Schizosaccharomyces pombe: one gene and its partner. The protein of the gene in region 1 binds, or shares a complex with, the protein of each later gene. Each region holds a gene or a part of one and is shown in the gene's direction. Other genes may lie near its edges.

Region 1 (15,717 bases):
TTTGAAAGTGGATTTTCTTCAACTGGTTCGGGAAAAAGCGAAAGGAATTTTATAAGGAAGGTAAGAATAGCTTCAATATGGGAATTGCTAAAAAGCGTGGTCTCGGAATTTTCTGATTCATTCTGTTTCCTCTGCCAATTTATAAAGGTTTGAACAATATCCAAAGCTAACTTTCGTGGTTCTGTACTAGCACTAGAAAACGACACAAGCTTTGGAAGCGCATTAACCATGGGTACAATAAAATGAGAGCAACAAGAGAAGAAAAGGTCAGGTGCTTTACATATGAATTGGTAAACTGTCAAAGGCTGTGATATACCCTGAACATCTTCGGAGATAACTAATCTAGGAAGTTTCGCCCAAAGGGGGAAAGTTGAATCGGAAGGACTCGATAGCCTAGCGGTTAATACAGACAGCAAAGAAGCAAGAGAGAATTCAATAAAAGCTCTCACTTCTGGTTGATATGTTTTTAGTATAGAAACATAAACAGGTGTCACAATCTTAGCAGGTGTATCATACGCACTTATAAAACATGCAATCGTAGCGTAAGCGGCTTGTTTTACCATAGGATCTTCGAGTTTAATGTAGTTCCAAGCTGACATTATAACGCTCTTGCGATAATCATTAAGAAGTGCTGAATGGTACTTACAAAGCGCCGTTGTCAAGCACATAATTCCCATGTAAAAGGAATCTGTGGCTCCCGATACTTCAGCAAAATCTCGAATTGAAACACGCCAAACATGAGTGTAAACAGAATGAACAACATCCTTATCAATAAAGTTATTTTCTCCGCATGACTTAAATACAAGCGGATTGATTACTTTATCCAAGAGAAATGCTTTAAAAAAAGGTCGAACTGACTTGTCACCAACTATACTGCAGCAAACTAAAAATATACTTTTCTTTTCAGCTGCACTTGTTGAGGTTATAAGACAACCACATAACGAATCTATGTATTCTGGAAGGAAATCGTTATCATCGTCAGCTTTAAATCTAAAAACTTCTAATGAAAACTCGAGCTTCTTCTCTATTTTCTTTAAACTAGATAAAAGCATTTTTGTAATGGACGATATACACCTGCGAATAGGAAGAAATAGATATTCGTTGTATGAACTAAGCATTCCATACAAGGACTTTGATAAAACAATAAATTTAGCCGATATAACTCCTGCATCTACATTGGCAGAAATGTAAGGAAACACGGTTGCAATAATATCAACAGCATACATTGGAGCCAAATTTTCAACAGACACCGGTTGCGAAATTAGCTCCAAAAGCTTTCCCCAGTAATTACCGGCGGTTTCGCGAAGTTTTTCAGACATCGGGTCATTCAAAGCACCAACGAATCGAGTTATTAAATCGCCATTACGTGCATTATTCAAAATATACATCCAGGTATCATTTGCATGCAAATCCATAAAAGAATACAACGGTTTTCTTAATGGGCTGTTAGAATATTTTCTGAGAACTGCCTCTATGTTTACGACCGACGACAACAAGTCACCTAGAAACTGCGCTGACAACGGAGGAAGATCTCTGAATACGTTAACCAAAGACACAATAATCTCGATCCTTGGGTTGGTTTTCAATAACGAAAGTGAGGCAGTCTCTAGGACTTTAGAATCAGATAGAACATTAAGGTGTTGAAGAAGCTTCCGACCTATTTCCACTTTAAAGTAATTAGTTAGTAATCTTAAAAGTCTGGATAAACCCTCAAGACCGTTAACTGACAGCTTATTGTGGTCCGATAAATTCATTAAAATTGGTCTCAAGCCGCTTTGAAGAAGTTCTTTAGGAAGCTTTTGGTTTTGCGAGAGCACGTGCCTTAACGCATCTATTGCAACTGAATAAATTTCTTTGTGAGGTGAGTATAGATCTTTGAAAAATATCGCTATGATTTTAGTACGAGTTTGAGCATGTTGAGGTTGATCAAACTTATGAGCCACCAAAGAAGCAAATAGTAAATGCAAGCAAGTAGCCCTTAATTTTCGTAAAGAAGAGCTATCTTTGCTTTGAGAAGTTTTAAGCATGGTGACTAATGCTTCATCTTCAGCATCAGCTAATGCTATTGTTTCACGAAATAATCTGTACAATTCATCAGTCAAATCCAAAAAAGAGGGAGAGCGGTGCAAGCAGTAAGTGATTGCATCTATATGCCCTATTTGGATTGTAAAAGGTAACGCTCTTAAGGGTTTTCCAAAAATAGGGCTTAAAAGCCTGTCCTTTATAGGAAGAAGAAGATCAACCACACTAAGTTTAGAATTGTTGGAAATGTTCTCAATAGCTTGTTGCACAGTATTCCTAACATGATCGTTGGGATGTAGGAGTTCTAAAAAAAAGGGAGAAAATGCATTAATTATATTATTAGCACGCTCTTTCGGTGCAAGCACATCCTGAAGTATACAGAATTGAGTTGTAATATCAACGATGAAAGAACGAACTTCGGTTAATTTTAAAACCCCATAATCGGTTGGAGTATCCTTGAGAATAAAGAACAAAGCCTTCAATATGTCGTGTAATCTATCTTGGATCCAAAGCTTATGATGTGAATCATACGAAAGTATTGCTTTTAAGCCGAGAAATCCAGCATTCTTTTGGTACCACAGTTCCTTATGGCAACTTTGGCAAAACACTGTTACAAGATTTTGAAAACTAGGCAACTTTGATATATCCAATGTTGTGTTGAGAAGCATCTTATGGGCGTTCAAATAATGATCGATACACGATAAAGCATTAGACCTGGTATTTTCATTTTCAGAACATAAAGATTCGAAAATTCCGTTGATGCACGTAGTAAGATCAAGCATTTTAATGCTTTGCAAATTATCAAAAATATTTTGATCTTTTATTTGCAGAGAGTCAGCGTAATTAACCAAATCAAGAACAATGAGCCATTCCAAAGAACGATTGATGGTTTCTCGAGCTTCAGCTACAAATTCCACACAAGACATTGAGCCGACTAAAGATTTAAAAATGTTTGAGACAATAGATCTTTGCAGATAATAAGATTCATCTTTGTCAGGGCACAACCTACCATTAGAGACTTGCTGTAAGTTTTTATCCATGCGATCTACAACTGCTCGGCACATTGTATCAATAGATTCCCAAAAGTCTTCATCGGGCTTCGCAGACGCAAAGAGTAATAAATACGAATTCTTGACCATTTGAAATGCTTGCTTCTTTTCTTCTAAATCGGAATTTTGATTGTTTAAAACAGCACATGAAGACATTAAAAATTTGGAGTGCTCTAAGCTAAAATTCTGAGAGGAGCCTTGGAAAGAAAACTGGATTGAAGGAAAAATATTTTCATCTTGCAAAAAATCAAAGCCAAAGGTACCAAGATATATTTGTCTATTTCGACCACCCATTTTTCCTAATATTCTCACAGCACTTTGATGCAATTGATTATTGGATTGATTAAGGCGTGAATGATTCCACAGGCATATCAGCAAATCCGGCATAATTGAGTCCAATAAAGGATCCAAAAATTCTTGAGTAAGATTATCCAAGCAAAGTTCAAATATTCGAAGCCCTTGACTAGCTATTTCAGGGGGGCCTTTTAATGCAACAATCAATGGCTTCATTAAAAAATTCATATGAGGCAACAACACACTGAGTCTAATGGGTAAAGTCAAACAAAGTTCCGCATACAGCTCTTTTTGGGATGTAGACGTAACAGTAAAAATCAATCTGTTGAAACATTCTAGCATTACTTGGAGAAGTGGTAGTATTTCCTTGTAAAGAGAATCAAATTTTCCTCCACTGATATTTCTAAACAAAGCTTTCATTAAATAAACGTAATTTAAAGGTTCAACAGCATCAGTAGTCAATTCGAGGCTAGTTGAAATGATATAGGATATATGGGGACGCAGGACTTCTGCATTTTTTTCGGGAAAAACATTCACAGTCATAAAGGCCAACTTGAATAATCGCAATAAAACAGAAACCCGAGTGGATTGGCCAGACCCTATTTTAGCTAGATTGTCACAGCAAAAAGACAGCACGATGCCCGTGCAGTTGACAGAAGTAACTTCATTAGACATCCAAAATTGGAAAATATGCAATAAAGCAAGATTATCTACTAGACACTCAAATATATTCGGAAACTCGGATTCCAAAATTTCGACGAAAACAGATGGGTCCAAGTGTAAAAATAAAGTTGCTAACATTTCTAAGAGCTCCTTCTCTTCTAAGAGTTTAGAAGGGTTTGTGGTCAACGAAGAATCAAGTTGAGAGTATGCAAGATTTTTCGAGGACTTGAATACACCGGTTTTTTCATCTGTCTGGTAATAACTGAATCCCTTTAAACTTTCCACAAGTAATCTTCGAAACAGTAAAACTTCATTAGTTGAACTAAGATGTAACTTTTCAGACCATTCCTGAGCTGTAAAAATGGAACCGTTGGCAAGAGGAATATTTCGTTGCTTTAGTCCAAACAAAACAGGCTTAATACCTAATAAGGTGTTTTTAAAAAGAAATATGCAATCTTTTAGCTTATCCAAACCTGAAGGTTGGGCAGCTCCAGTAGGGTTCTCAAACATAGGAAGATCATGTTTATTTTCTTCTATTTTAATTTGCTTTAAGTCAGCATTTTCCTGTAAAGAATCTCTCAGCTTCATAAACTCGAAATTCAGAGAAGTCAATTTTCTTAAGAGACATAAAAGTATAGCAAATAGAAGTGATCGGCTAGTGGAAAAATCTTCTAGTGCAACAATTCTTTCAACCAAGTTTAAAATAAGCTTTGTAGCCATTGCCTGAATAGCTGAAGTATAAAAGTCGTCCATCAAAATACTGAAATAAAGAAGTATGACTTTGTAAATTTGTTGTGGACTTAATTCCATACGCACATAATGAAGCATATCTGCCAGCATGCTAAAAGCCATGGGTCGTAATGAATGCTGAGAAGTGATTCCAGAACCAACTAGAATTTTGGTATCAAGTAGTTGATCTACATACGGTAGAAACCCTCTCAAATAATCCGTCGATAAGACGTGCCTTGTAGCTACCAAAAGTTCTCTTCGAGTCTGATATAATTCGGAAGGACAGTCCATGAACAATTGCAAGGTACATATTGGGATCGAGCTTTCAAACTGTTTAAGAGCAGCACCAAAACTTCTCAATAAATAGGCGAGAAAAGAGAATGATTTAATTTGCGCAGAAATAAGGTCATTGTAAAGATGATTTCGACGCAAAGAAGGGACTACACCAATAAAAACCTCTTTTTGAGATTCTGCAAGTCGACGAGCTTCGGCTTGAGGTGGAGGACGAAGTGAGATAAATTGAAGTACAAGCGGAGCAAGTAAAGGAAGCATTTTCGGAATAAGATCTTTGTATGTTTGAAATAGGAGAAAGACGATAATGGGAAATTCAGCAGTGACCTTGAAACTCGAAGAAGCTTTTGGGATCATTTTTGGACCTGCATGTTCCATTCCAATTTCAGCAGGAGATGCAGAAGATGCAGCAGACATGGGATGAGAGGATGGAGTATTCGGAGCTGATCTAGGTGGGAAAGCTTCTGAAACAACTGTGGTCATGGATTTGTAGTTTTCAACGACAATGGATAAAAATTCCTGAACATGTCCCTTAGCAAGGCTACTGTGGTCCTTAAAAAGAAGGACAACAAGCTTCAATGCCAACACTGCCATCTCTTCATTATCATTAACGACTATACGAAGAAGCACGGCAAAAGTCCGATTAACGAATGCTTCAAAACCTTTATAGGATCCAGATTTCTTGAGCAATTCAAGCAATGCAATGCGTAAACGATGTGTAGCTGCTAACGATGAAAATACAGGACGTTCCTTTTCAAGCAAAGACAACGTGTCCTCCAAAAGAGGAATGAAAGTTTCAAAATTCGTCTTTTCAGTTACCAACACATCATCCAGTGCATCTCGAATTTCAATTGCTGTGTTTGCCTTTTGCTTCGAGTCTAATCCAACATCACAAAGCCGATTATGCCAATGTTCGCATTGTGATACATCCATCAGATGCTTGGATCTCTGCGCAAGCTCTTTTTTAAATTCCAATTGCACTCGGATACGTTTTCCTAAGTATTTAACAATTACTATTGGAATGTTGTGGGATAGAGCAAGCTGCATTTCTTTCCTCTAAATCACTTTATGAATTTTACATGTTTTCGCTATTTTAATTAACGGCCTTATTATTTTGTGCGGTAGAAGTTGCTAAAATGATGAACGAGATAAAAATAGCGAGTGATACCACAAAAGTTCGTTTAGCCTCAGCTGCATAATTTGTCGTAAACAAACCATTCATTCATTAATCTGTTCATTACCATTTTTAGGCTACCTTTTAGTCAGTGATCTTTAATATATCTTACCGATTAGTAAGTTAATTGATTTCCAAAATGAGTAAAGCTATGGCGTTGCGACGGTTAATGAAGGAGTATAAGGAGTTAACGGAGAATGGGCCTGATGGTATTACTGCAGGTCCATCGAATGAGGATGATTTCTTTACTTGGGATTGCCTAATTCAAGGCCCTGATGGAACTCCATTTGAAGGTGGGTTATACCCTGCTACCTTGAAATTTCCTTCCGTAAGTCCTTTACTATAAACCTGATGGAGACTGAACATGTGATTTAAGTTGTGGATAAGTATGATGTTTCGCATGTTTTATGTATCAACTACTTATTAAAAAATACGCGCTCTTTTTCATAAATTAACATTTGTTCAGCGTAAATAAAGAAAGTAACTCAATAATCCATTCGTTTAGAATGATCATTTAAGAGAAGTGCTTTTATTCATTAGTAATTGATGAATCCTTCGATTTATTGATGAGTAGGAAGAAATTTTATTTAAAAGATCTATCTAAGTTTTTTTTTGGGGGTTTGGTTTCTTTCTTTGAATCGCATGGCAGTACATCCGGGGTGTTCAAGCGCACGTTGATACGTGCTTAGTTTTATTTTTATTGGATTCTAACTTTTTTATGTAGGATTATCCTCTTGGCCCCCCTACTTTAAAGTTTGAGTGTGAATTTTTCCATCCAAATGGTATGCCAGATACTATTAATCCAAATTTCGAGACTAACCTTCATTTCAGTTTACAAAGATGGGACGGTTTGCATTTCCATCCTACATGCACCTGGTGACGATCCAAATATGTATGAGTCGTCTTCAGAACGTTGGTCTCCTGTTCAATCTGTTGAAAAAATACTGTTATCGGTAATGTCGATGTTGGCGGAACCAAACGATGAAAGTGGTGCTAACATCGATGCGTGCAAGATGTGGAGAGAAGATCGAGAAGAATATTGTCGTGTAGTTCGACGATTGGCTCGTAAAACCTTGGGATTATAACCATGAATTGTATATTTGATTAGATTGCCATGAATAACGAACCTGATAAAATCTAGAAATAAAGTTTTGTTCCATTTTTGAACGCAACCGGTAGGCTTTTCTCTTTCTATTCCAACGTATAACGCTACATAGGTTTAATTACAAGGTTTAAACAAAAATGAAAGCACTTTTCCAATTCAATTTCTATCTGTAAATGATGGAAGATAAACATTTTGTCTATTGAGATAATCCATCTTTTAATAAACATCACTTGAACTTTCTACACAGATACATGGCAACGTACATCGCTGAAAACGAATTATATTGAGAAAACATCTAGAAATTACACAGTAAAAAACTTAACAAAATATAAGAATAACCCCAAATTATGCTCCAAAAGAAAAAAAAAATGCATCAGGTGCATAAAAATATTAGCTTCCCACAACCTACAAAAGAAAGAGGTAAATTTTTTTACAAAATAAAAATCAGAAATTATCAAATAAAACGATCATATTCCATCTTCCAATTTTTCTTCATCACCAGTGTTTTCTTCACTACCTTTAGCAATCTCAAAATCCAGAAAAAGGTCCATTACTTTTTGCTGATTTCGAATATCAGCTTCATATATAGGTGACTTCTCATAAATATTCTTAATATGAGGATCACCTCCCGCTTCCAGTAGTAATTTGCAAATTTCAGCATGTCCATTCAGTGCTGCCCAATGCATTGCGGTGTTTCCACTCTCATTCTGAGCATTTATTACTTCTTTATTCAAGTACGGGATTATTTTTTGAACAACAGCGATGTGTCCATTAGCACTAGCCATATGAAGTCCAGAGTTACCATTTTCATCACGACGACTTAATTCTTGTGGACATTTCTCTATAATCTCATCTAGTAACTCCTCATCCGCAGCTCTACAAGCGTAAATTAAATCATCAACATCCATATTAAACTATCCAATCCAGTAAAGAAGGATGTTTTACCGGTTTATTTGGAAAGAGAATGATGTGAAAACTGTTCGTTTGTTAGTGTAAGGTAGCCGCGGCTTCTCCAACTTGGCTTCGGCAAGGCCGTGGTTACTTACTACACCACAAATTCCATTGCAATTTTATATAATTATTCAACGAGAACCTGCCTTCTACAGCAGGTTAATTTTTGATTTATAAGAAGGAGAAAAAGAAGTTACAGGAGTGTTTATTTCCGAAAGTCATAGAGATTTAAACCAGTATATATGCTTTCCTTGTAAAAAATTTCATTGCTCACACAGCTCTCGATTCCTCATCTAAATAGCTATCTGGTAGCGATTGGTAGACTATTTTTTCGGGTTTATTTCCCATTATATTTCAGACACTCTTTTTGACCTGCGAAACTTTTTGTCCTCATTTTGTATCAATTGACTTCAATAATGGAGTTAGAAAAACGGATTTATGTTGGTGGCCTTTCATCCTCTATTGAATCTTCAGATTTGGAATCCAGATTTTCTCGTTTTGGAAGTGTTTCAAATCTTGAAATTATAAACAAATCTACTCCAGTAGGAACTATACAACGATTTGCATACTTGAATTTTCGAACAGATGAAGATAAATGGCAGAAATGCAAGTCTTACTTATCAAATGCGACGTTTAAAGGAAGTAAACTTCGTATAGAGGAAGCTCGCCCTTATTATTTAGTAAAATTGCAGCAGGAAAAAAAAATTGCTGATCTTCAAAGTACTAATAATGATGAGAAAAATGAAGATCACTCCAGCAAAGTTGATCTGGAAGACCCAGTCTTTCATGGAGAAATAATTGTTCCCGGAAAACATAGTAAAAATATGCAGGTGGTCACGGATTCTGATGTTCGGAAGGATCCTCCTAGAAAAGGTTGGAAAAAAGGCCCCTATGGAAGGGCCATTGTCGTGCTTCGAATGTATAATAAAAATACTAAGAAAACGAGGTTTTTTTATCCGCTGGGTAAAAACTGCTTACAAAAACTATGGGGCCGAGTGGAAACGAATATGGACAATACTACAGCTTTTTATGATTCTGATCATGATGAGTATGTATCATATGGGGGTAAGAGAGCTTCTCGTGACAAAATACGTATGCAAGCAAAATTGGGTATCAAAGCTTCTACTCAGAAGGATGATAACGATTTTGAACTTCTTAATAACACAACTGGGGAGATTGAAGTCACAAAAGAATTAAACGAAGAGCAATTGGATGCTTTGCGAAAAAAAGATAAGGATACGGCTGCATCTGTGTTAGCTGAACTGTTTGGTTCTGAAAATACAGAAGAAATTGATACCGTATCTAAAACTTCAGGTGTTTTGGAACTGGACAATGATTCGACTAATAATTTCCAAAAAGAAGGTTTGGATGAACAAGATAATTTACAAAAGGAAGAGTCCGTACACATAGATGTTCCTGCTGAATTTGAAGCATTTGATGAGCGTACTGCTGTTGTTAACGTTGACAATTTAAAAGAAATGTTTTCTTCCAATGCGCAGGATACGTCTAAGTTTTCTCTTTTTGGCAATGAAAATGGAGTTGGTGAGGAAAGTGAAATGGAAAGTGAGATTGATGACCGTAATTACGAAACTATGGAAGAAGAGGCAGATGGGGAAACTCCGCTAGCTATAGTTAAAGCCTCATCGGGTACCAAGGGTTGGCCAAAAATGTTTACTCTACCCAATCCTTCTTCCCTATTCCAACCAGGTAATGAAGATTATACGAGCAGAGAAGCTCTTGAATCCTGGTGGTCGGAAAATCGTCTATTCTTAACTCGTGATTACAAACGAAAAAGAAAAGATGCCGTAAAAAGACAGCGAAGGGCTCATGAAAAGCGTATTCGACTTGTTTAAAGACGCGTATAGGTTATGTATTTATTGGGAATTTATTTGGGTATTTTAAGGTTACGAGGTATATATTGATTTTTTACACACTTTTGGAATCTTTACGTTGTTATTTCTCTATCCTTTTTATTTTAGAAAAAAATCTGTGTCTTTTTAAAAAGCCACGATGTTCACTTTGGTTTTATCATTGGTGAAAGTTAACAACTTTTTTCGTTGCACTTTCTTGGGATTTGTGGCTTTTAATATTTACAATGTTTGAGATCAAATTTTATTAAAATATTTGTTATTCTTATTGTTATAAGCCAAAGTTGTCAAATAAAACATACCGAAATTTTCTTACATTGTCAGAAAAATTATTTTCCTTTTCGGCATTTACAAAACCATATAATGTAAATTAGTTATAATTATCTGAATAGATTATCTTATAAAAGAAGACTGAATGTGTGCATAGAGTAGTAATTACTCAATATAAGAAGAATTTCGTACTATATGTAAGAAACAGAAATAGTGAATTACGCTGTATTACACTAGCGGTGCTTAGGCACGGTGATGAGGCAGCCAACAGTCAATGCTAGTTATCCAGAGCGAAACTAGCTGCCTTATTCGCGGCTTCTGTAAAAATGGCTTCTGCTATATTCGTTCTGAATTTAAAGGGAAAGGTAATCATTTCCCGTGATTACCGGTAGGCAATTTTGAAATCTGAATGAAAATCAGATTGTCGCAATTCGTCGACAGGTTACTAACAGAAAACAATTAGAGCTGATATCCCCATGTCAGTAGTTGAAAAGTTTTTACCTTTAAAATCAGAAGTTGAAGAAGAACAAGGATTCTCCACCCCTTGTCTCACTCACGAAGGCATTAACGTATGTAAAAGTTAGATATTATGAAAGCCAACAATTCTTATTTTTTTATGGTCGTACTAACACTTTTCAGTACATTTACATTCACCATAATGATGTCTACCTCCTTGCTTTATCCAAAATGAATTCCGATGCAATGGAGATGCTAGTATTTTTGCGTAAAATGGCGGACGTTTTTATAGATTACTTTAAAGAATTGCAGGAAGAGTCGATTCGAGATAACTTTGTTCTTGTTTATGAATTGTTAGACGAGATCATGGATTTCGGTTTTCCACAAACAACTGAAACAAAAATCTTGCAAGAATACATCACTCAAACCTCAAATACGGTAAAAAAGCATGCTCCACCCCCCATTGCTATGACAAATGCTATCTCCTGGCGTTCTGAAGGAATTCACTATCGTAAGAATGAAGTATTTTTGGACGTTATTGAATCAGTTAATTTAATTGCTGCTGCCGATGGTACGGTCATTCAAAGTGAAATCTTAGGAAAAGTTCGTCTCAAATGCTACTTATCAGGAATGCCTGAACTTCGTCTTGGGCTCAATGACAAGGTCCTTTTCGAAGCGGCTGGTCGTACCATTAAAGGAAACACTGTGGAAATGGAAGATGTGAAATTTCACCAATGTGTTCGTCTTGCTCGATTTGAAAACGATCGTACAATTTCGTTCATTCCTCCTGATGGCGAATTTGATTTAATGTCCTATCGCATGAGTTCAAATGTAAGTTATTAGTTTGTGCCTGTTCTTTTTATTCCCTCTCTCCTTTATCAACGTTTTCTAATATTAATTTCTCGTTAGGTACGGCCATTAATTTGGGTTGAATGTGAATCCATCGTGCATTCAGGTTCGAGAATTGAGTTTATGGTAAAAGCTAAGGCTCAATTCAAAAAGCGTTGTATTGCAAATAATGTCCAAATCATCATTCCCGTTCCGGAAGATGCTGACAGTCCTCGGTTTCAAACTAGCAATGGTCATGTGCAATATGCACCTGAACAAGCTGCCATGGTTTGGAACATTAAGAAATTTGCAGGTGGTAAAGAATTTTTCATGCGTGCTGAAATGGGTTTACCAAGTGTTAAAAATGAAGATATTCAAGTTCAGAAAAAACGTCCTGTTCAACTAAAATTTGCTATTCCCTATTTCACTACCTCAGGGATCCAAGTTCGTTATTTAAAAATCACCGAACCAAAACTTAATTATCATGCTATGCCTTGGGTTCGATATGTTACACAAAATGGTACTGAATATTCCATCCGTCAGTAAATGTTTCTAATGATGGTTCTCCGTTCCGTTCTTTTTTCTACCTTTAGATACCTTTCCCTTCATCTATATATTTGTTTTCTTAGTGTACTGATCCCATTTATTACGAAATGAAATCTTGTTTGCAGACGCGCTAATCCTTTTTCTTACTCAGCTGACATAAAAGGAGCATTTGCTTGAAACATAAATGTCTAAGTCTATTTATTGTATAAAGGATAAGTTCAATGTTTTTATTAAAACAGAAATAAAGATTTTCTAACATACAATTCCATTTACTCAGTAGTGAATCTCCGTGTATTAAAAATACATAAAAGACAGATTGTTCCAAACGGTTTTCTAAACATAATAAATTAAAAACCAAAAGCGAGAGAATGAGAGGGAGACCGGATAGTAAGAAAAAGATTGAAGGGAAAAGTTTAAAGGTCTAAGGGTGTAATGAGTTTTCAAGTACGTATTTACTTTGGAGGTTCAATTCCGAAAAACTTAGCACGGATGGACCACATGTTTTCACGGATGCTTCGTTCCTTCTCGCCCCAATACGGTGACGGAAACTCTTCTTCAAGAACAGGTGTAGCCTGTTTACACCAGTCGTGTAGCTTGTTAATGTAGGTAGCGTCTTTTGGATAATCCAAAGAGTGATACATATTATTTGCTCCACTCAGCGAAAACATTAATTCGTCTTGCCATTTCAGCTGCTCTTCTTTGCTGGGTAATTTGAGGCGACCAGACCAAACTCGCGCGAGGAACGCTGCCTGTGCTTGACTAGTAGGGAAAGGAACAACGTGTAGAGCTAAACCAACAAAAGCCAGAGTTGGATCGGGGATATAAAATATATGTTGATAGACATTGTGCACATGACTACCATCATCAATCAACTTGGTTTCAGGGGATTTCAACTTAGCCAGGGAAGGAAATGGTACGGAATACAAGTATCCGGTACAATAAATAACTCTGTCAATATTAGATAACACTTTTCCACCTTTCAAGTATATTTCCCTAGTGGTAGGATCGAACTTAGTAATTTCAGGTACTTGTTGCAACGATTCATTCTGTATGTCCCCTCCACCAAGAAGACTTTGATATATAGGGTGCTTAGCGACTGGCGTCAAGTGTCGGACGAGATCGTTTGCAGAAGAAGCACCACCAACTACAAGTACTGATTCACCCACGAATAATTCTGGTTCACGGAATAGCGATGAGTGTAGAACTGACCCCGGCACGGCTTTAGCGTATTCATCGAGACCTTTAATATTGGGGATATAGGGTACTTCATAATGACCATTACAAATTGAGACTGCATCAAAGATATCTTTACTAATCGGGCTTCCGGCTTTCGTTCCTTTGTATGTCACGACCCAGGAGCCATCCTTCTTTTCTATATCTAGGACATCGGTGGCTAATTTTATAAAGGGCAGCAGAGGTTGTGCATATATCCGTTGATATTCCTGAATGGTATGTCGATGGGGGAATTGAAGAGTTTGGGGTTTAAAGCTTTGATCACAATAACCCATCAACTCAATTGGGGTATTAGTTTGCAGATCACGATACAAAGGTGAAGGATACACAGGTAAAGCAGCTGGTCCGACAATGGGTTCGGTTGTTAAAATGGGATTTGTGCTAGGAACCGGTAACTTATTTGATAAAGTACTTGTATAGTTCCAAACACCACCCGGAGACCCCCTTCGCTCAAAAAGCGTGACCTGGTCAAACGCCTTTTCTGCTAACAGCGCTTTAGCCGTAACTAATCCAGAGGGACCAGCACCAATGATTGCAATTTTTCGAATTGTTGGAAGACACATAAGAACAAAAGAGAAAATGATAATTTTTTGATTAGTACCAAGTAAATTAAGATATTTTTTTTTCTGTACAAAGAATAACAGAATGAAACAATATCCAATTGTGAAGGAGTGTAATTGAATGAAAACTACACTTTATGTGCGTTTTATATCTTTGCACGTTCCGATTGTCCTCAATCTGCCAGGGGGCCTTGAAATCGCTGATAAAGCTATAGCTTATTGGCTAAAAAATAGAAGTGCTGGTTAGCGATACACATATTGAAGCCAGACACTATCTGTATATATAGTTTGTTATGGATTCAAAAACGCATCCGCTTTTCGCAACTTTAAACAATCTTTTCATCATACTCAATATTAAGCACGACTAAATTACAACATCCGATCAACATTTTAGTAATCCAAGTTCTGTTATAAGCGAGCCATATGACAAAAATGGGACATTTGAATTTCTCATTTAGAGCAAATTAAAATAATAAATGTAGTTTACACCTCTTGATGGATTTAATAATTAAGATCAAGCTGATATCCGAATGTAAATTTGACCTTGGCAACGGATTATCAAAGAGAAAATTTTTTTAGCGTCCAATGATAACAGCGTTTAAGAATTAGTTACTTATAAAGACCGAAGCGATCTTCCAGATAATGAATAGCAATACATTAGATGTGAACCTATTAATGTTGTTTAAAAGATCTAGTAAGGGCATTTTGAAAGGAAATCATGCTGATGAAAAAAAAATATATCTTTATCTTCCTAACACTTCTTGCAATGGCCATAAGAGAAAGTACGTCTCTGCTGCTCATACTTTTCAAGCATGTTGAATGCTTCAAAGTAAATGATTATAGTAATTTCCCAAATAAATATAGTTAGGTGACTTACTGACTCCGCCTAACGCGTAAGTTGGATTGTTGAAACAATTAAGCTCTTGCTGTTACAACGGTATAGCTTAATACCCAAATAATTACTTAAATGCTTTAAATCATCATAATACCAACAAACGTTCGTTTTTATAATCAGAGACAAGAAGATTTTAAGATTTGCAGGGAGGTATACTCATATATAAATTCATTGTATTTTAGAGTACTATCAATTATGTATCTCAAAGAGTATATAGTAATACATGAAATAAAAGTTTTTAAAGTTGAATTATAATTTGATGTTCTATAATTGGGGTGAATGCACCCTAATTGACAATAGAGAATTCTACGAAAAAAATCATGCATCCAGGATAGTCATATAGGATTTTGGTTAAAATTGGCAGCACAATATAGTTTTTGATGCAATTACAGTTAACATGCATAATACTTGTTTTGAAAAAAAGTTATGAATAAAAGCTCAATTGTAAGCACATCACAAAGAACGATTTTTAATCGTAATTGACGATATGTAATTTTGGATTTCATATAAAATTGTAACTACTTATTAAATGATCATTAGGGGAAATAGCGCACACTGTTTTATATCCTCTTCAAATTTACAAAATGAAATTAATCAATTTTAGCAATTTACCTATTTTATATGATTGAATTGAATTGAAAAAACCATGAGTTGATTATGACGCTGAAAGAAAGACATATAAGATCCTTAGGACACTACAACTCTTTCTACTTGAATGCGAAAGTGGATTGGTCTCACCAAAAGATTACCGTACACAAGAACTTCGGTGCTCTAGCAAGTTTT
Region 2 (15,597 bases), on another chromosome or scaffold:
GATGAACTTTTAAGTGTCTGTTTCACAAATTGGTACATAAGAATAGATACTGTGGTCAATAGGAAACATAAAATGATGCATATTTAATTTTGATATAATTTGATTTAAATGTCTTAAAAATAGTTTAAAACTTAAATTGATCTTATGATGAGCATAAATGAGATGGGACATGAAGTAGTGATCCTATCTAGACCGATGTAAAATTCTATTATAAAAAAAGCTAAATTACTAGATGCAAAGAGAATAACCCAAGCAGAATGTAGCATCAGTTGGTACAAAATGATGAACGGTTCATGAAGCTTCGTAAAAGTGCCAACTGGTATAAGTGACCAAAACTAGATTTTTTGTTCTATCTATGAAGAGGATTCATCCTTTTTTGGATTCTGATCTTCATCAGGATGCAGACGACGAAAGGCACGCTTAAAAAACCCGCCGACCGAACCGTCTTGTTTGTTTTCTTCTCCTGTAGTTGGCTCGGTAGATATTCCTGTAGAGTGTTTGGAAGAAGTAGAAGATGTCGACGTAGAAGAGTTTGTTCCTGAAGGGCTACTTTGTGTCCGTCGAGCTGTGCTATCATTTAATGCGTCTGCTAGTTGTTCAAGGAGACTTCTTTCATGCGGAGATAGAATTTTCGGAATAGTGACTTCAAAATTAACATAAAAGTTTCCGTAGCGAGATGTGTTAACCTTGCGAATACCTTTTCCGGCCATAGTGATTCGGTCTCCAGTCGAAGTGCCTGGAGAAACCCGAAGATCCACGTTTCCTGTAAGTGTAGGAACCCGAAGAGTGCCACCTAGCGCAGCAGTAGTCATGGGAATTTTTGCATTATAAGTAACATTGGTACCCTCTCTAACAAAGAACGGATGCTTGCGAACATGAATAGTTGCAAACAAATCGCCGGGCCTTGATTTCGCATTTGGGCCTCCCTTAGCAGTAGACGCATCATTTCCTGCACCCATTACACGAAGAACTGTATTGTCGTCAATTCCTGGAGGAATGTCAATTGAGACAGTTTTTCGCTCTCGAACTGTACCAGATCCCATACAAGAGCGACAAGCAGAGTTGGGAGGAATGGTTGTTCCAGTTCCACCACAAGAGTCACAGGTAGTTTGCATGTGAAAAGATGGGGGAATGAAATGAAGACGTTGACCAGTACCTTTACAAGCAAAGCAAGTGCTCTTATGAGAACCGGGTTGCAAGCCAGATCCATGACATGATGAGCAAGTAGAAGAGACTGAATAGGATAAGTCTTTTTTTGCACCCCTCACTGCTTCCATGAAATCGATAGTAATACTTGCCTCAATGTCTTCACCAACAAATACATCAAAAGAGGTATTACGACGAGCTTGGGGGCCTCGAGAGGAAAATCCAAATAAGTCTTCGAAATTAAAACCTGGAAAACCAGAAGAAAAAGAAGAAGCGCCAGCAAATCCGTTCTGGAATCCTTCAAAATCACCGCCAGTAAACTCTCCATTCTTAAATGCGCCTGCACCATATGTATCGAAAGCTTTTTTCTTCTTCGGATCCTGCAACACCTCATAAGCCTGTTTGATTTCAACAAATTTATCTTGAGCAGCTTTGTCAGGGTTCGCATCAGGATGGTATTGCTTTGCCAGTTTATAGTATGCTGATTTTATCTCAGAAGCAGAAGCGCTTTTTGATACTCCCAACGTTTTATAGGGATCAGTCATTTCCCAAACTGCTCTAGTGGCATGGAAGCATCGTGCATGATATGAAAAGTTTTTCAAGGCAGCACATCGAGAAAACTCTCGTTTTGCATTTCGTTGAATTGCTACATTTCGAAATTTGGTGCAAGAAGAGCTTATGACGAAATTCCGCCTGGAAGAATGGGCAATTGACTTTGAAAAGAGCTGCTGAGCAGAAGAATTTGTAAAAGAATGCAATCCACAAACTCGGGATTGTAAATACTTGCTGAACATTTTGATGCTAAAAGAAAGTGACTCAACGATTCCGGAGCACTGAATAAATTAAAGCGCGAATTTTTTTTAAAAGAAATTTTAAAATAAGAAGTAATGTAAATATCGAGGTAGAGAGATGAAATGCGAATGTCTACCTGAATTACTTAAAAAAAGATAAAAAGGCACAAAAAATGAACAAAGTCGCGAGTAATAAGTGGAAATAAAAAGAATAACAAATAATATGCTATTATTAAGTACCTTGCCAATGCAATAGTAAAAGGAAAAAAAAAACAAATAAGGGAAACCGAAACTTATGAAAGTTTCTAGAAGTTAGTAGAATACCACTTGAGCAGTGCAATACTCTCTTAAAAAAAAATGTCTAATTAAACAATTTAATAATTTAAATGTCCAATATAAACTATTTGATGAGTGTGGTAGCGTGATGGAACTGTACCGTCGGCTAGAGTATAACACATAGTCTACTGGCAGCTCGAAAATCGATTGACCATTGCTATACACTACAACTTGGCTGAAATATTAGGTCAGCGATAAAATTAATCCGTTTAAGGAGTTAAATAGTGTAAAAAACTTAACTAATATTCCTTAATTATCGTAATTGATCAATATTAATATCGTTTTGTGAATTATTTGTTAATACATCCAAAGTTATGCAACCAGAGCAATTAGCAGGGTGTGCTGTCGTTTTAACAGTTACAGTGCTTACTTTAAGATGGATGTTTCGTGTTGATAAAGGTGGTGAAGTTTCAGAATCGAGAACTTCGTCTTCGGGTGTCGATAATGAACCACCTGTGAACAGCGAGCATGTTCACCTCGTCAAAACCGTTTTTCCACATTTAGAATCATCAGCTATTGCCTATGACCTCCAAAAAACAAAAAATGTCGATGCAACCATCGAGAATGCATTGCGAGGTCAACCTCTACCGCTGCCGCCCCGTAATTCCTCCTTGTACGCTCGCTTTCCACTGTCGGCTGGAGCAGGCGCTTCCTCTCATTCAGAAGAAACAACTCCTTCGCACGAAGTGACATCCAACGTGTCTTCTGGGTCAAGCGCTTCTTCGTTGGCAAGCAACGAGCACAGGAGCCTCATTGAAACTTATAACTTGTCGTCCAGGATTTCTTCGTCTGACAATTCATCCTCGTCCACCGGCAATGAAGAGGTTCGTAATCGTTCAAAGCTTCCATCTTCCAAAAAAGAGCGTGAAGAGTTGTTTCGCAAGCGAAAGGAAGAGATGATTTTGGCTGCCCGTAAACGGATGGAAGGAAAGATTAAAGGAGAAAAACAAGACAAGAATTAAATATAAAACCAATTTTAATGATCTTTTTTATTGAAGTCTCTTCATGTTCACCCGAGGCCCCCTGTTTGATTGTTTGCTCCGCTATTGCTTTATTGAATTGCGTTACTAAACTGCTTAGTTCATAGCTTTTGGGTCTTTGCAATATGTTGCTCGTATTTTTTTGCCTTTTATTTTTCATACTCTCTCTACGATGTGTTCAACTTATGCAAGGTCAGTGACTTTTTGGGTTTCTCCTTCGCAAAATACTGGCAAAGGGCATTGCAAGGAATGGAAACAGAAAAATAACGCAATGCTTTATTTTTTTGGCCATCAAAAATAAGTTTTAGCAGAAAGTAATATATCGATTGTCTGTTCATTTTTGTCAAATTTCTGTAGCTAGTTTTTATAAATATCAAACATTACCAAATTTAACATGTTTACTAAATATGCATGCTAATATTTTCAGCTAGGCATGTCTTTTGTGGTAAATAAACATAAAACCTTGACGATGATCTCTCGCTTTCTACTGATTCAACAAGTTATGCTAAAGACAGGTAAATCAATATTATCTTCCTTCTAGTCGCTTTTGTTTACTTTCTGTAAAATAGTGAAGGTTTGCGTGTTTGTTGAACTTTAATACCGTAATATCATTTTTTGCGGTGATTTTATATACTGTTTCGTCAGTTGAAATCGCTAAACGTCACTAAGATTTACCATGCTGTTCGGAAATCCCATGGCTCCATTCCATTTTGCCATCCACACCATATTTGTGAACATTTGTGTTTAATTGTTTTTTCTGACTTGACCTTTCTTGTGTAAAGGTTTTTCAGAAACCTAATCATTCTCATATATTTAACTAAAAACTGACAGTACGGCTTCGTCTGTCTTTGCAGCAATCAGGACGTAACTTGGTGTAAGGAGTCATCATTGTTACAGCTCCAGGCCAATTCAAGGTATTTAGATATTTGTATCAAATCAGTTACTTGTTTTTTTGTGATCTAGCTAAGATCAAAGGCGCTTGAGGGCCATATACTTTGATATCTGTTTGTTTATATTTTGAATCGGCTTGCGAGTTTTAAGTAATCGGATAGCTACACCTTTAGTCCGTGTATTACTTGATTGCTGTTTTTAGGTAATAAAAATAAAAAAGAAACTATTTTCTTTTTTTTCTTTTACTCTTTTTTTTTTGTTTTCTTCGTAGCATATCAATTTGCTTCAAACCGTTCCTAATTCATGGGACAGACAAATTCTCGACATTCATTAATTGAAACCGATGAACCCACCACATCATCTAGAGTTTCCATGTTAGTGGACAGAGTGAAGTTGCTGTGGAAAAGGTACACAACACCTCTGTCAACTGAAGACGGTAGTCGAGAAGCACATTTTGCTGTTCCTAGTGAAAATTATGCCGACACTCCATCTCGCAATACCCCAAATTCTTCGAATGGGTTCCCTTCCGAAACCCTGGTTACCTCATCCGCTCATTGTTCCACCCAACCTCATAAAGATGAAGCATATTCACATCATGGCTATTCAAGTACAATGGCGTTAGATGACAGTAGTCTAGCACAAACTTATCATGAGTATGAAGAAGGCACCTCTGGAAACTCCCCATTGAGGAGAGCGATTGGCTCTTATGATTTTCTTCATCCTCGTCCGTCCGGTAACTCCTCTCGTTTGGATAGGAATTCGTCACGCCCTTTTACCTCCTCCTTCCATTCTGCTCCATTTTTAAGTTCTTACGGCTCATCAAATGACCCTTCTCAAGAACGTGTAAACGAATATTCACTTCCCTCAAATTCAAATTCAACTTACACGACACCTCTTCAATCAATTAACAACGAACATCCCCTTCCCACTGTTCTGGAAAATAATGCTCTTTTAAATAACTCCGGTAACTCCCCTTCTTTAATAAACCATTTGCGTCAATATCTTAATCAAGATTTTAGTCGTCTACATCAATCCCCTTCACCCATCCCTAATTCTAATGATAATGACTCTCAAACCCGCCGGTCGTCTTGGTCATCTATCGCTTCTGCATTTAATGACTTTCCTGAAGAATTTCCGAATGCCAGCAATCCTGAAGCGCATTCGAATTTTACACCTCTTAACGGTAATGATGAAAGCACCGTCAATATGCTTAGCCGGTTACTTTCTGCTGCTGCCATTGAAACAGTTGCTTCAATTATGAATAGCGAAGCTAGGAATATGGACTCCCAGAATATGGCAAACGGTGAACCATCTCGCTTTCGTTCTGTTGATGGTTCATTTGAACAGTTCTTAACCGACCTTCGTAGTGGAAATTTGACTAATGTTCTTCAAAACTCTTCTCAAAATGGAAATGATCAAATTTCTTCTGACCCTGAGTCTAATTCCTCAGACCTTCAATACTTAAGGATGTTCCGTTTTCCGTCGTTTCATCAGTCTCACAATCAACCTGCCTCTAATAACGAAGCTTCAGATACAAATGGACCGGCTTTGGTGCCTGTCCTTATCGTTTGTATGCGTAGCATTTCCGAGACTTCCGAGGATCATGCGCCAACTATGACTCAAGAAAATCAAAGCCTTCATAACGAGAGTAGAGAAAACATATCCATTAACGATATAACCGAAAGAATGGCTCAGTCCACTGAATTTTCCACTGATCTTCCTCCTACATTCGAGAGAAGCAATTCAACTTTTTCACATCCTGAACCTACAAGAAGTGACTTTAGCCAGGCTTTTACGCCGGTATCCGATTTCCCTGCAAATCTTTTTCCTGGTTCCAGAAATTTGTTTCCAACGTCCAACTCGGGTAATCAATCTACTTCTTCGTTTTCGCGCTACAATCAACCTACTGTTTCCGTGGATTTAAGGAATTCAAGTATACTAAGAAGAGCTCAAGAACCTGTAAATGGTTCAACTGGAGAAAATCACATTGGAGATGATTACATTTCTTCATTATTGGATAGTTCAAATTCCAATTCACAACGACCGTTTTCAACAGTGCCTTCTGAATCAAATGTTTTTTCGAGGAACGCCTCCGGCAATTTCTCGATGTCACAAACTCATCAGCCGACTACCGATAATACCTCCTCATTTTCCACACAGCCTGGAAGGTTATCTACAGGACTCCATCATTTTCCGTCTGATCGAGATTTACTGTCTAATCAAACTAGACGTTCTAGCTTAGCACGGAGCTATAGATTTGAGGAACAACTTTCTGTTGATGATAATACTAGCGACTTTAGTACGTTGGCTTCCAATGGGGCTGCCGACATGGTTACTCAAACGCATTCAGAGGGAACTTTCTCTAATAGCACCCATGGTGATTGGCTTATCTATGTGTTTGGTGGTCTGTTTCCAGAACATCATCCAGTTTTGTCTACAGTTAGCTTGTTTAGCGATAATCCCATGTATGAAGACTTGTTGGCTCTTACTACATACCTGGGTCCAGCGAAGAAACCAGTCGCTTCTCATGAAGATGTGAAACGATCGGGCGGACTTTTTGCATATTTCGATGATGCTTCACTTTCTAGTGCTGATTCTTGTCTAATATGTTTAGAAACTTATACTAACGGTGACATATGTCGCAAGTTGCAGGCTTGTAAACATTTTTTCCATCAGGCCTGCATCGATCAGTGGCTTACCACTGGTAATAATTCCTGCCCGTTATGTCGGGCTCATGGGGTTACGACACAAGCTGAAGAGGAAAATTAATTTTGACTTGAAATTAAAGCTGGCCTTATTCTATGTTTGTTCACTCTCATTTATTTTCCTTCATCCGTCAAATTTGTTGAATAATTGTTCGCACTATTTGCTTGTGAATGAAATCTACATAATAGCTCTTCCCATTTTTATGGCTGCTATAACCTAAAACTGCTTGACCTTGTTCAACTATCTCTTTGGGACTTTCTCATTTTTCTCATTTATGACCTTATTGATAAAATTTTTGTAATTTTCTACTTGCTGCACGGAAACGAATTGTTTTGTTGTGCGTCTTTTGTTAGAAATAACAATTGCCTTTTTTACAAAGCTGAGTTTTTTCTAAAAATCATTTTAGTTAATCGGTTTGCACGTTTAATATAATTTATTTTCCTTTTAGAAATTTTGCTTCGATTTTTACATATTAGTTTAGATACAAAATTGATGCACATTATCACTTTTAAATATATTTTCTAACAAACAAGAGTATTCATATTTATAATCATGTAAGGATTTTAATAAGAGATCATATTGAATAAGCTTAAATTATAAGGATTTGGTTCTAAGTCGATCATCGAAAGTTTTTAGAATGACGGTGTTTGATACCCTAATTAGTCTTCATGAATACAATTATTTCAGGTCTGAATTGAGTTATGACTTAAAACTTTTCGAAAATAGGAATTAACAGAAACAACAATGATAAATGGAAATGCAGTGGGTCATTCAAAAACCATGTAATTCAGACAAATATTAAAAGCGAGAACTACCATCACTAAGATGTGGAAATCTCTTAAATGGTGAGCTGCTGTCACGACTAATTCCGCTGTCATGAAGATGATGAACACTTCTTCTTTGAAGCGCTATAGGGGTACGGGGTGTTGAAGTGAGATGATCATGTGAAGAACTTCGGTGTTCAAGGAAGGTATCTATGGGTTTTCGGGGTGTGAAATATTCAATAGATGCGGTTGTGGGACCACGAGTAGTATTAATGGCAACATCTCGTTTAACTACCGAAAGTCGAGGTTCTACAAATTTCTTATCATACTCAAAGAATACCTGGCGATGAAGATATTGTTGATCTTTCAGCAGTAAGGAAAATTTATTGACAAAATGCAATGTTGTAAACGAAAGGAGAAAAGTCAACAAAGTCACGCGTAGAGAAGTGCTATAAAACCATAAAATCAAGGCATGAGCAGGAGAAAATAAGCAAGCAAAATTTAGTAAAAATTGATTTGGGCTCCATACTTTCAATTCAAAAACTTGTTCATCGCCATCATCATTATTTGAGTGCTGGAAAACTGGTTTTACATTGGGAGTAGAAGTCGTCGTGCGTTTGTCTTGAGGCAAAGTTCTATACAGCTTATTTTGAAATCGAGTGCTAAATATGAAATTGAGAAAGCTGATGAAAAGAAAACAAATTGAGAGAAATGATAGGAAGGCACGAAACCAGGACCTAGAGGTGTTGATGGACTGCTTATCCACAAAGAGCTGGTTGCGTTGAACTGGTACATGCGTACTTTTTATATAAATGCGCATTAAGAGAAAAATAAAATTGACAGCCAAGCTAAAGGGAATCGAATAACGATCTGATACTTTATCCCACTCTACACTGTCAAATTGTTCGCAAACATAGATAAAGTAATCGATCGGAAGATTGATTATTTTAGAAGTCAGCGATGTACGACGGATTAACTTTCCCATTGAAAAGATTTTTAAGCAATGTTTTGAAATTCAGGTGTACTTTTTGAGTATAAAACAACGCCGAATTAGAAATGAAACAAACCATGGACCTGAAAGGTAAATTCCGATATTCGTATACTAATGAACGAAATTAGGGCACTTCTCCGTTTCAGGATTCAAACCTTACGTATTAATTAGAGTAGCAAAGGCTTTTTAATTAGCTAGGTCGAGCTTGCTATTATCGACTTCAATTGCAACAATGAAGGATAAAAAGTTTTTTATTAAGATAACTTTTTAAATCCGGTACGTAAACAAGTGTGCAATAAAAAAGAAAAAAAAAAGAATTTGCTTTCGCAGGTTGATGTTCCTAAGTATTGGTGTTATTGATGGTTTCAACTTTACCACTACTACTGCTGTGCAAAATCAGTCGTCGATTTAAAATTCCTATTTTTAGGAAATATAAGCTCGATCAGTGACATAAATTTAAACAGTTTCGTTTGACGTTTTACTAATTAATGAATTATTTCCTTAAAATTTAACGGCTGAAGTTTTTTTTGACTTATGTTTATTGTCTCTTATTAATAGTGATGCATGTGGTTTAACTTTTTATTTAATAATTTATTTTCATGTTATGTTTCAGATTTAAATTTTTTAAATCTTTATTTCACGGTTGAAATCAAAAGTAGTTAATATAGCTCATAATATTCAGCAAACAAACTACTCGCCATTCTTGCGCAGTTGATACTGACCTCTTTTTCAAAGGACTTTTTAATAATCATCATCACAGCCATTGTTAGAATTTTGCTTTCTTGTTGGAGAGATTGCTTGAAATAATAATTCTTTAACTAAGAATATATCAGATGTGGCTGTGATTACAACTTTTTATTCAATTTATCGTTATTGATATTATTTGAACCAGCGGTTAAACAAGCATTATCCTAAAGTTGATTCAATTCACATAAACTCTTTGCTCAATGCCACCCAAACGCAAAGCATCCAAGAACTCTGTTCGCGGAAGGAAACGTAGGACACGGACCAATAACTTACCTCTTAATCCTGAAGTGAAAGAGGAAACTGTTGTATCTTCAACTCACCGTCAAACTCGTAGCCAGTCGAAAAAGCCAAGTTTGTCTTCCTCAGCGGAACCTCCTTCTGAGAGTTTAGATGACAATATATCAGCGTTAAACTCACTTCAAAGGAGCGCATCTTCATCCGAAAAAGGTTCCGATGAAGACAATGAGAAGTTAGGCAGCTCAGAAGATGACGAGTTTGACGACGATTTTGACACTTGGGAACAAGTTGATCTTTCTCCTAATAAACAAGAAGATAAAAAAGATTTACACATAGTCACACAGCATATCACTCCTCAACTTACAAAAGAATCGAAGAAAGGCTCTTCTAGTGCAATGGATAAAAGCATTCGATTATCTATTCACATTATGCACTTTACTTGCTTGTTGTACCATGGGTCAGTAAGGAATCGCTGGTTAATGAATTCCTTACTTCTTGATGGGCTGCGCGATTTGCTTGTCGAAAAGCAACCGTCCGTAGTGGAGGCGTGGGTTTGTAGTAGCCAGACGCACGAGGATTTGTTAAAATTGTTAAATGGGCTTCGGATGTGGTGGAATAAATCTTTTAAAATTGAGAGTCATGGGCTTCGGAAGTTGGGGTATCGTACTTTGAAACAAGGATTTGATATCGGCTTTTCGCCAGAAATATTTCATAACTTTCATGAATACCAAGCATCCTTACTTTCGCTAAAAGGAAGCCGGGATTTGGCGGCACAGGGATTTACTGCTCTCTGTCGATCTCTGAATCTGAAAGCAAGACTTATATTTTCTCTTCAACCTTTGACATTTTCTACTGCTTCCTATGATGATTGGTCTCCACATATCCTCCCTGAAGAAACTAGTACATCTATAGATGACGACCTCCGCTATCCTATTTTTTGGACGGAAATCTATGATCAAAGTGAGAAGAAATGGATTGCGGTAGATGCGGTTGTCTTGAATGGGGTATATACCAACGATATGACTTGGTTTGAACCCAAAGGAGCGTATGCAGAGTCAAAACATCTACGAATGGGTATTGTTGCTGCATATGATAACGATTTATACGCAAAAGATGTAACTTTGAGGTATACAGATTACCAATCAAGTAGGCTTAAGAAAATTCGACACGTTTCTTTTGCAGATAAGTATTTTGATTTTTATAAGGCTATTTTTGGGCAACTAGCAAAGCGCAATAAAGATGCAGAGGATATATATGAAGAGAAAGAACTGGAAAGTAAAGTGCCCATTCGCGAACCTAAAAGCTTTGCAGATTTTAAGAATCATCCTGAATTTGTATTGATTAGACATCTTAGAAGAGAAGAAGCATTGCTTCCTAACGCCAAGCCTGTGAAGACAGCAACCTTTGGTAACGGTAAGAAAGCTACCTCTGAGGAAGTGTATCTCCGAAAAGATGTGGTCATATGCAAAACGCCTGAAAATTATCACAAAGAAGGACGAGTAATTAAGGAAGGAGAACAACCTCGAAAAATGGTGAAGGCGAGAGCCGTCACAATTAGCAGGAAGCGTGAACACGAATTTCGGGTTGCTGAAACAAATGAACCAGTGCTTCAGGGTCTATATTCTTCCGATCAAACTGAGCTATATGTTCCGCCTCCAATCAAAGATGGTATTATTCCTAAGAACGGTTATGGTAATATGGATTGTTTTGTTGAGAGCATGATCCCCAAGGGCGCAGCACATTTGCCATATCGAGGAATTGCTAAAATTGCCAAGAAACTCAACATTGATTATGCGGATGCAGTTACAGGGTTTGAATTTCGTAAACATCGTGCGATTCCAGTTACTACAGGTATAATTGTACCTGAAGAGTCGGCTCAAATGGTTTACGAAGAATTTCTTGAGTGTGAAAAAATCAGAATAGAGAAGCAGCAGATGAAAGAGAGAAAAATTATTTATGGGCAGTGGAAACACTTGCTAAATGCACTTCGTATTCGAAAGCGTATTGAAGAACAATATGCTTAATTCCTGGCTTTCGTCGGACACTTTAGGGTTTGTATAACCGGATGTGTGTTTTTTGAACAATGAGGATACTTAATTCCAAACGTTAGACTCATTTATTTATTTATTGTTTTGCAAAATTGACATTTGGTTATTTGTGAAGTATTTTATTTATTTAAAGGAAAAAGAGGAAGCAAACTACCAAATTATCTAATATTTTATTGATTTAAAAAACCCCAGATTTTTATAGCACTATTTTTCATATTGGTGGATCACACTCTATTTTTCGCTTTATAGATCACCCAATTGCATTACCTTGCCAATCGTACTACAAATTTTTTGTTTGAAGGAACAACGACTTAATAAAATAAAATAAAAATAAAAATAAAAATTTTCATTACACGGTAATATCCAAGTTGCTTAAAAATAGCTAAGTCGTAAATTTTATTAAAAAATTAGATATATTCATATAATATTAATACTTTTTAGCATTTTTTACGAAAAAGATGTAGTAAATATAGTTTAGAAGGAATCTTATCATGAGTGTTGCTAAGTACCTCGGTAACCTCGATATTATGGTATCATGGTAGGCCCATTTAACACCACCACGCTTTGTTGCAAAAGCGCGTACTATGCATATATTCTTGGCGTTTACCAACCACGCATTTTAGTCATATAGAAAGTGGAGCATAAGAAATCTGGTTATTGAAAGGCAATTATTCATTCAATTACTCAAAAATCTCCCAGCTGGGTAGTAATGGTACTGGAAAGGAATTTTTATGAAGAAAGCATTGTTGAAGAACTAAGAGATTTTTTGAAAGAAAGCCAGAAGCCCGAAGCACCAGCGTCGCATGTGTGATAGTCAGGGAATTCTCGACATAAGAAGAGAATTTCAAAATGGCTGGCATCACTGAACATTCGACGATTATGAATGATGCAAATTTTAAAGAGGAGAATGCTCACCTGTCAGATGCATCAATCCACTTTGGAAGTAGTGAACAGGATAAAACACCTTCAGATTATGAATTAGATGATGTTTTAGATCTTTACAATGATACTACTGAAGACGATGCCGATGATGCAGACGATGTTAATAACTACATAATGTCTCCATCCTCCAGTTTATCTAGCGAGAGTGAACATGCACTAGATGCTTTAGTGTATCCCATTTACAGTCATCATAACATACTTGAGCACGAAAATAACTCTGACTATGCTTCAATTACGCCTAGTAATCATCCTGCATTTACATCATGTGCTTATCTGCAGAATCCAGTCGTTGATTCTAACAATGAATACGAAAGCAAGTTCAGACTTTCTTTAGAGATACCTCCAACTGATTTCTTATCTACTTCTACTGAACTTTCGAAGCGTGAATCATGCCTTAGTACTGAAACGTCCTCCTCCAAATTTTCCGCCGTCACCGCTGCCACTATTACCAACGAAACCCAGAGTGAAAAGCGTTCATCCCAAACAGATCCAAGCCTTCCTTTCAAAACCAACTCCCTTAATTGCGACGTCACTTATGAAGAAGGTCCTCTCACCAAAAAGCTCCGAGGACCCAAAAAGTACAAGCCCTCCCATTCAAGCTGGGATATATATGGTTTCAAAAAAGCCAACCAGTTTTATACCGTTGACCAATACAACACATGGTATGGCCCTTACAGCCGCTACCTGGAGCGTCGCGAACAGCGATGGAAGCTTTTCCTTCAAGAAAACGGTATAGACTATATACACCAATCTCCTAGTATTTTTCCTAGCCGCAGTGCTAAAACTCAACGATTTATTCGCAAAGGAATACCACCCGAGTATCGTGGCAATGCCTGGTTTTATTACAGCGGTGGTTACGAATTACTTCAGAGAAACCCTAAACTGTACGAGACTCTATGGCGTTGTGCGTGCATAAAAAAGCCCTCAGATTCTGACCTTATTGAACGTGATCTATATCGTACCTTTCCAGACAATGTACATTTTCGACATAAATCCAAGCATTCTAGGAACTCATCCGACGCATCAGAGCATTCATCAGAGGAGCCTGATGTTCCAATGATTTCAAAACTGCGTCGTGTTCTAATGACTTTTGCAACATACTTACCTGAAAATGGTTACTGTCAAAGCTTGAATTTTCTTGCTGGTTTCTTCCTGCTTTTTATGAGTGAAGAAAAGGCGTTTTGGATGCTCGTAATTACGTGTCGTAAATATTTACCAAAGATGCATGATGCCAATTTAGAAGGTGCTAACATCGACCAAAGTGTTTTGATGGCATCCGTTCGAGAAAGCTTACCAGCGGTTTGGAGCCGCATCAGTCTTAATTTTGATGGTATACCCGTCAATGATATTGTGGCAAAGCTTCCTCCCATTACTCTCGTAACTGCTGCCTGGTTTATGAGTGCCTTTGTTGGCATTTTACCTACGGAGACTGCTCTTCGTGTATGGGATTGTTTTTTCTATGAAGGCAGCAAAGTTTTGTTTATGACGGCATTGTGTATTTTAAGACTTGGTGAAGATGATATAAAGTCGAAAAGTGAGCAGACAGAGGTATTTCAGGTGATTCAAGATTTACCCAAATCGTTACTTGACGCTAATGCATTTCTCTCCTTGTGTTTCCGAAGGAATTTTAGGCGCACTCCCTCCCAAAAGGATATAGAGCGTCGAAGAGAAAAGGTTGCAAAAAAGCGTAACTCTTCTGCTTCAAAGCTTGAAATGAGTGATTCTTCGAAACATCACCTTAGTCGTTCATCATCACGATTCAGCAAGTCGCATATAATATCTCAGCTTCATAATCACTTGAAGAAGTCTACTTAGTTATGTCTGTTTACCAATTGAGTTTGCCCATTGTCAAACCTGTCAAACCTTTACTCTCGTTACTAATTTTATGAATGCCCTTGTTCGTTAAGAATTTGGTTGATTGGTTCAGATTTTTATTATTTTTTTACATTGCTACATTGAACAGCCCTTATTCTATTAATTTTGAAATGTTTGTATGAACGTCGTTCCATCACTTATTTGTTCAGCAGATTATTATTTTAGGTAGTCATTGACTCCACTATACACTCGTTTTATTCGGGCATATGCCATTATTTTTGCAAATCGATCTATTTATATGTCTCTTTTGTATAATTGCCTCTTTCTTGTTTGCATAACAATCGATTTTATCTCCCGTTGACACTGGGAATCGAGTCACTAATGTCGGCATGCTTGATATTATTAACATAGCATTATAAGATCACTGTTTTATCATTTTTTGTAGTTAGCCCTCAGTCTGTATTTTTATAAATCATTTGTTGCTAATTCGTTTCAACAGGAAATTGTTTTTAATGTTAATATAAAGTATGAACAATTGATATATTAAAGAAAACACTAAGCTGACCGATGTTTTGTAAAGTATGTATATAAATATATATAAAATTAAAGTTTTCTATTGTGTAATAATAATATGGTTAGTGAAAAGGGATTAAGTAAAGAAGCAACTAATGAAAGAATTAACAGTAATTATAATTAAAATCTTAGAATCTTAAGGATCGATGTTCGATAGAAAACGATTAATTAATGGAGTTTCTTCAAGTATTATGAGTCCCTAAAGGATGAAAGGAGTTATGATATAGTGAGAATAATCAGTTTGTTTAAAATAAAATATCCTTTTCACACATAAAATAAAAAAGCACTTAGTAAATGATGCTTTAGCGAAACCTATTTAATGGTTCGAAACTGCGTTGTTAGATAAAAATTCACAGTTGAGAAAATTGGGAGACGCAACATAGGTAAAGCCTTGAAAAGCAGAGGAATGGCTACCAATTGTTAAATTCCCAAATTCTTCATGAAGAATGGGTGTTGTAGAAAGAGGCAATTTGGTAAACTCGACTGAAAAATTCTCCGCAGCCTCAGGATTGGTGATGCAAGGAACAATTGGGGGAGGCAGCATGCGCTTCTCTAACTTATTCCAATCAATTCGGCGATAAATTCTGTGCTTTTTTATTGCATCGTAACCTTTCTCGGGACCATCTGCGC

The links.
Region 2: the proteins of ubc7 (region 1) and cue1 are in contact, whole or in part, in a crystal structure (PDB 6OP8), measured with the Schizosaccharomyces pombe proteins. Residues at the interface, in NP_595778.1 of Schizosaccharomyces pombe: Met11 (codon at 6,392), Tyr14 (codon at 6,401), Lys15 (codon at 6,404), Leu17 (codon at 6,410), Thr18 (codon at 6,413), Glu19 (codon at 6,416), Asn20 (codon at 6,419), Gly21 (codon at 6,422), Pro22 (codon at 6,425), Asp23 (codon at 6,428), Gly24 (codon at 6,431), Ile25 (codon at 6,434), Thr26 (codon at 6,437), Ala27 (codon at 6,440), Gly28 (codon at 6,443), Pro29 (codon at 6,446), Ser30 (codon at 6,449), Asn31 (codon at 6,452), Glu32 (codon at 6,455), Asp33 (codon at 6,458), Asp39 (codon at 6,476), Leu41 (codon at 6,482), Gln43 (codon at 6,488), Gly52 (codon at 6,515), Leu54 (codon at 6,521), Arg161 (codon at 7,287), Leu164 (codon at 7,296), Gly165 (codon at 7,299); in NP_587825.1 of Schizosaccharomyces pombe: Asn173 (codon at 3,104), Arg174 (codon at 3,107), Ser175 (codon at 3,110), Lys176 (codon at 3,113), Leu177 (codon at 3,116), Lys181 (codon at 3,128), Arg184 (codon at 3,137), Glu185 (codon at 3,140), Leu187 (codon at 3,146), Phe188 (codon at 3,149), Arg191 (codon at 3,158), Lys192 (codon at 3,161), Glu193 (codon at 3,164), Met195 (codon at 3,170), Ile196 (codon at 3,173), Leu197 (codon at 3,176), Ala199 (codon at 3,182), Arg200 (codon at 3,185), Arg202 (codon at 3,191), Met203 (codon at 3,194), Lys206 (codon at 3,203), Ile207 (codon at 3,206), Glu210 (codon at 3,215).

The regions. Positions count from the first base shown.
Region 1 is NC_003423.3:1,899,438-1,915,154, forward strand, and holds ubc7 (ubiquitin-conjugating enzyme Ubc7), read left to right. Parts: upstream 1-6,250; 5' UTR 6,251-6,361; coding exon 6,362-6,550; intron 6,551-6,833; exon of another isoform or gene 6,834-6,946; coding exon 6,947-7,004; exon of another isoform or gene 7,005-7,053; coding exon 7,054-7,307; 3' UTR 7,308-7,588; downstream 7,589-15,717. Other genes in the region: SAGA complex, phosphatidylinositol pseudokinase subunit Tra1, read right to left, coding at 1-5,981; ribosome biogenesis protein Yar1, read right to left, coding at 7,795-8,235; ribosome biogenesis protein Nop8, read left to right, coding at 8,695-10,131; AP-1 adaptor complex mu subunit Apm1, read left to right, coding at 10,743-10,804, 10,880-10,985, 11,056-11,703, 11,782-12,246; fmo1 (flavin dependent monooxygenase), read right to left, coding at 12,699-14,042. UniProt on the Schizosaccharomyces pombe protein: Catalyzes the covalent attachment of ubiquitin to other proteins. Functions in degradation of misfolded or regulated proteins localized in the endoplasmic reticulum (ER) lumen or membrane via the ubiquitin-proteasome system.
Region 2 is NC_003421.2:442,817-458,413, forward strand, and holds cue1 (CUE domain-containing Cue1/4 family protein), read left to right. Parts: upstream 1-2,422; 5' UTR 2,423-2,587; coding exon 2,588-3,235; 3' UTR 3,236-3,420; coding exon of another isoform or gene 3,421-3,591; 3' UTR 3,592-3,814; downstream 3,815-15,597. Other genes in the region: DNAJ domain-containing protein Mdj1, read right to left, coding at 354-1,940; SPOM_SPCC4G3.20 (uncharacterized protein), read right to left, coding at 3,421-3,591; SPOM_SPCC4G3.12C (ubiquitin-protein ligase E3), read left to right, coding at 4,448-6,913; protein nur1, read right to left, coding at 7,649-8,599; DNA repair protein Rhp42, read left to right, coding at 9,553-11,613; GTPase-activating protein Gyp3, read left to right, coding at 12,487-14,394; serine/threonine protein kinase S6K family Psk1, read right to left, coding at 15,284-15,597.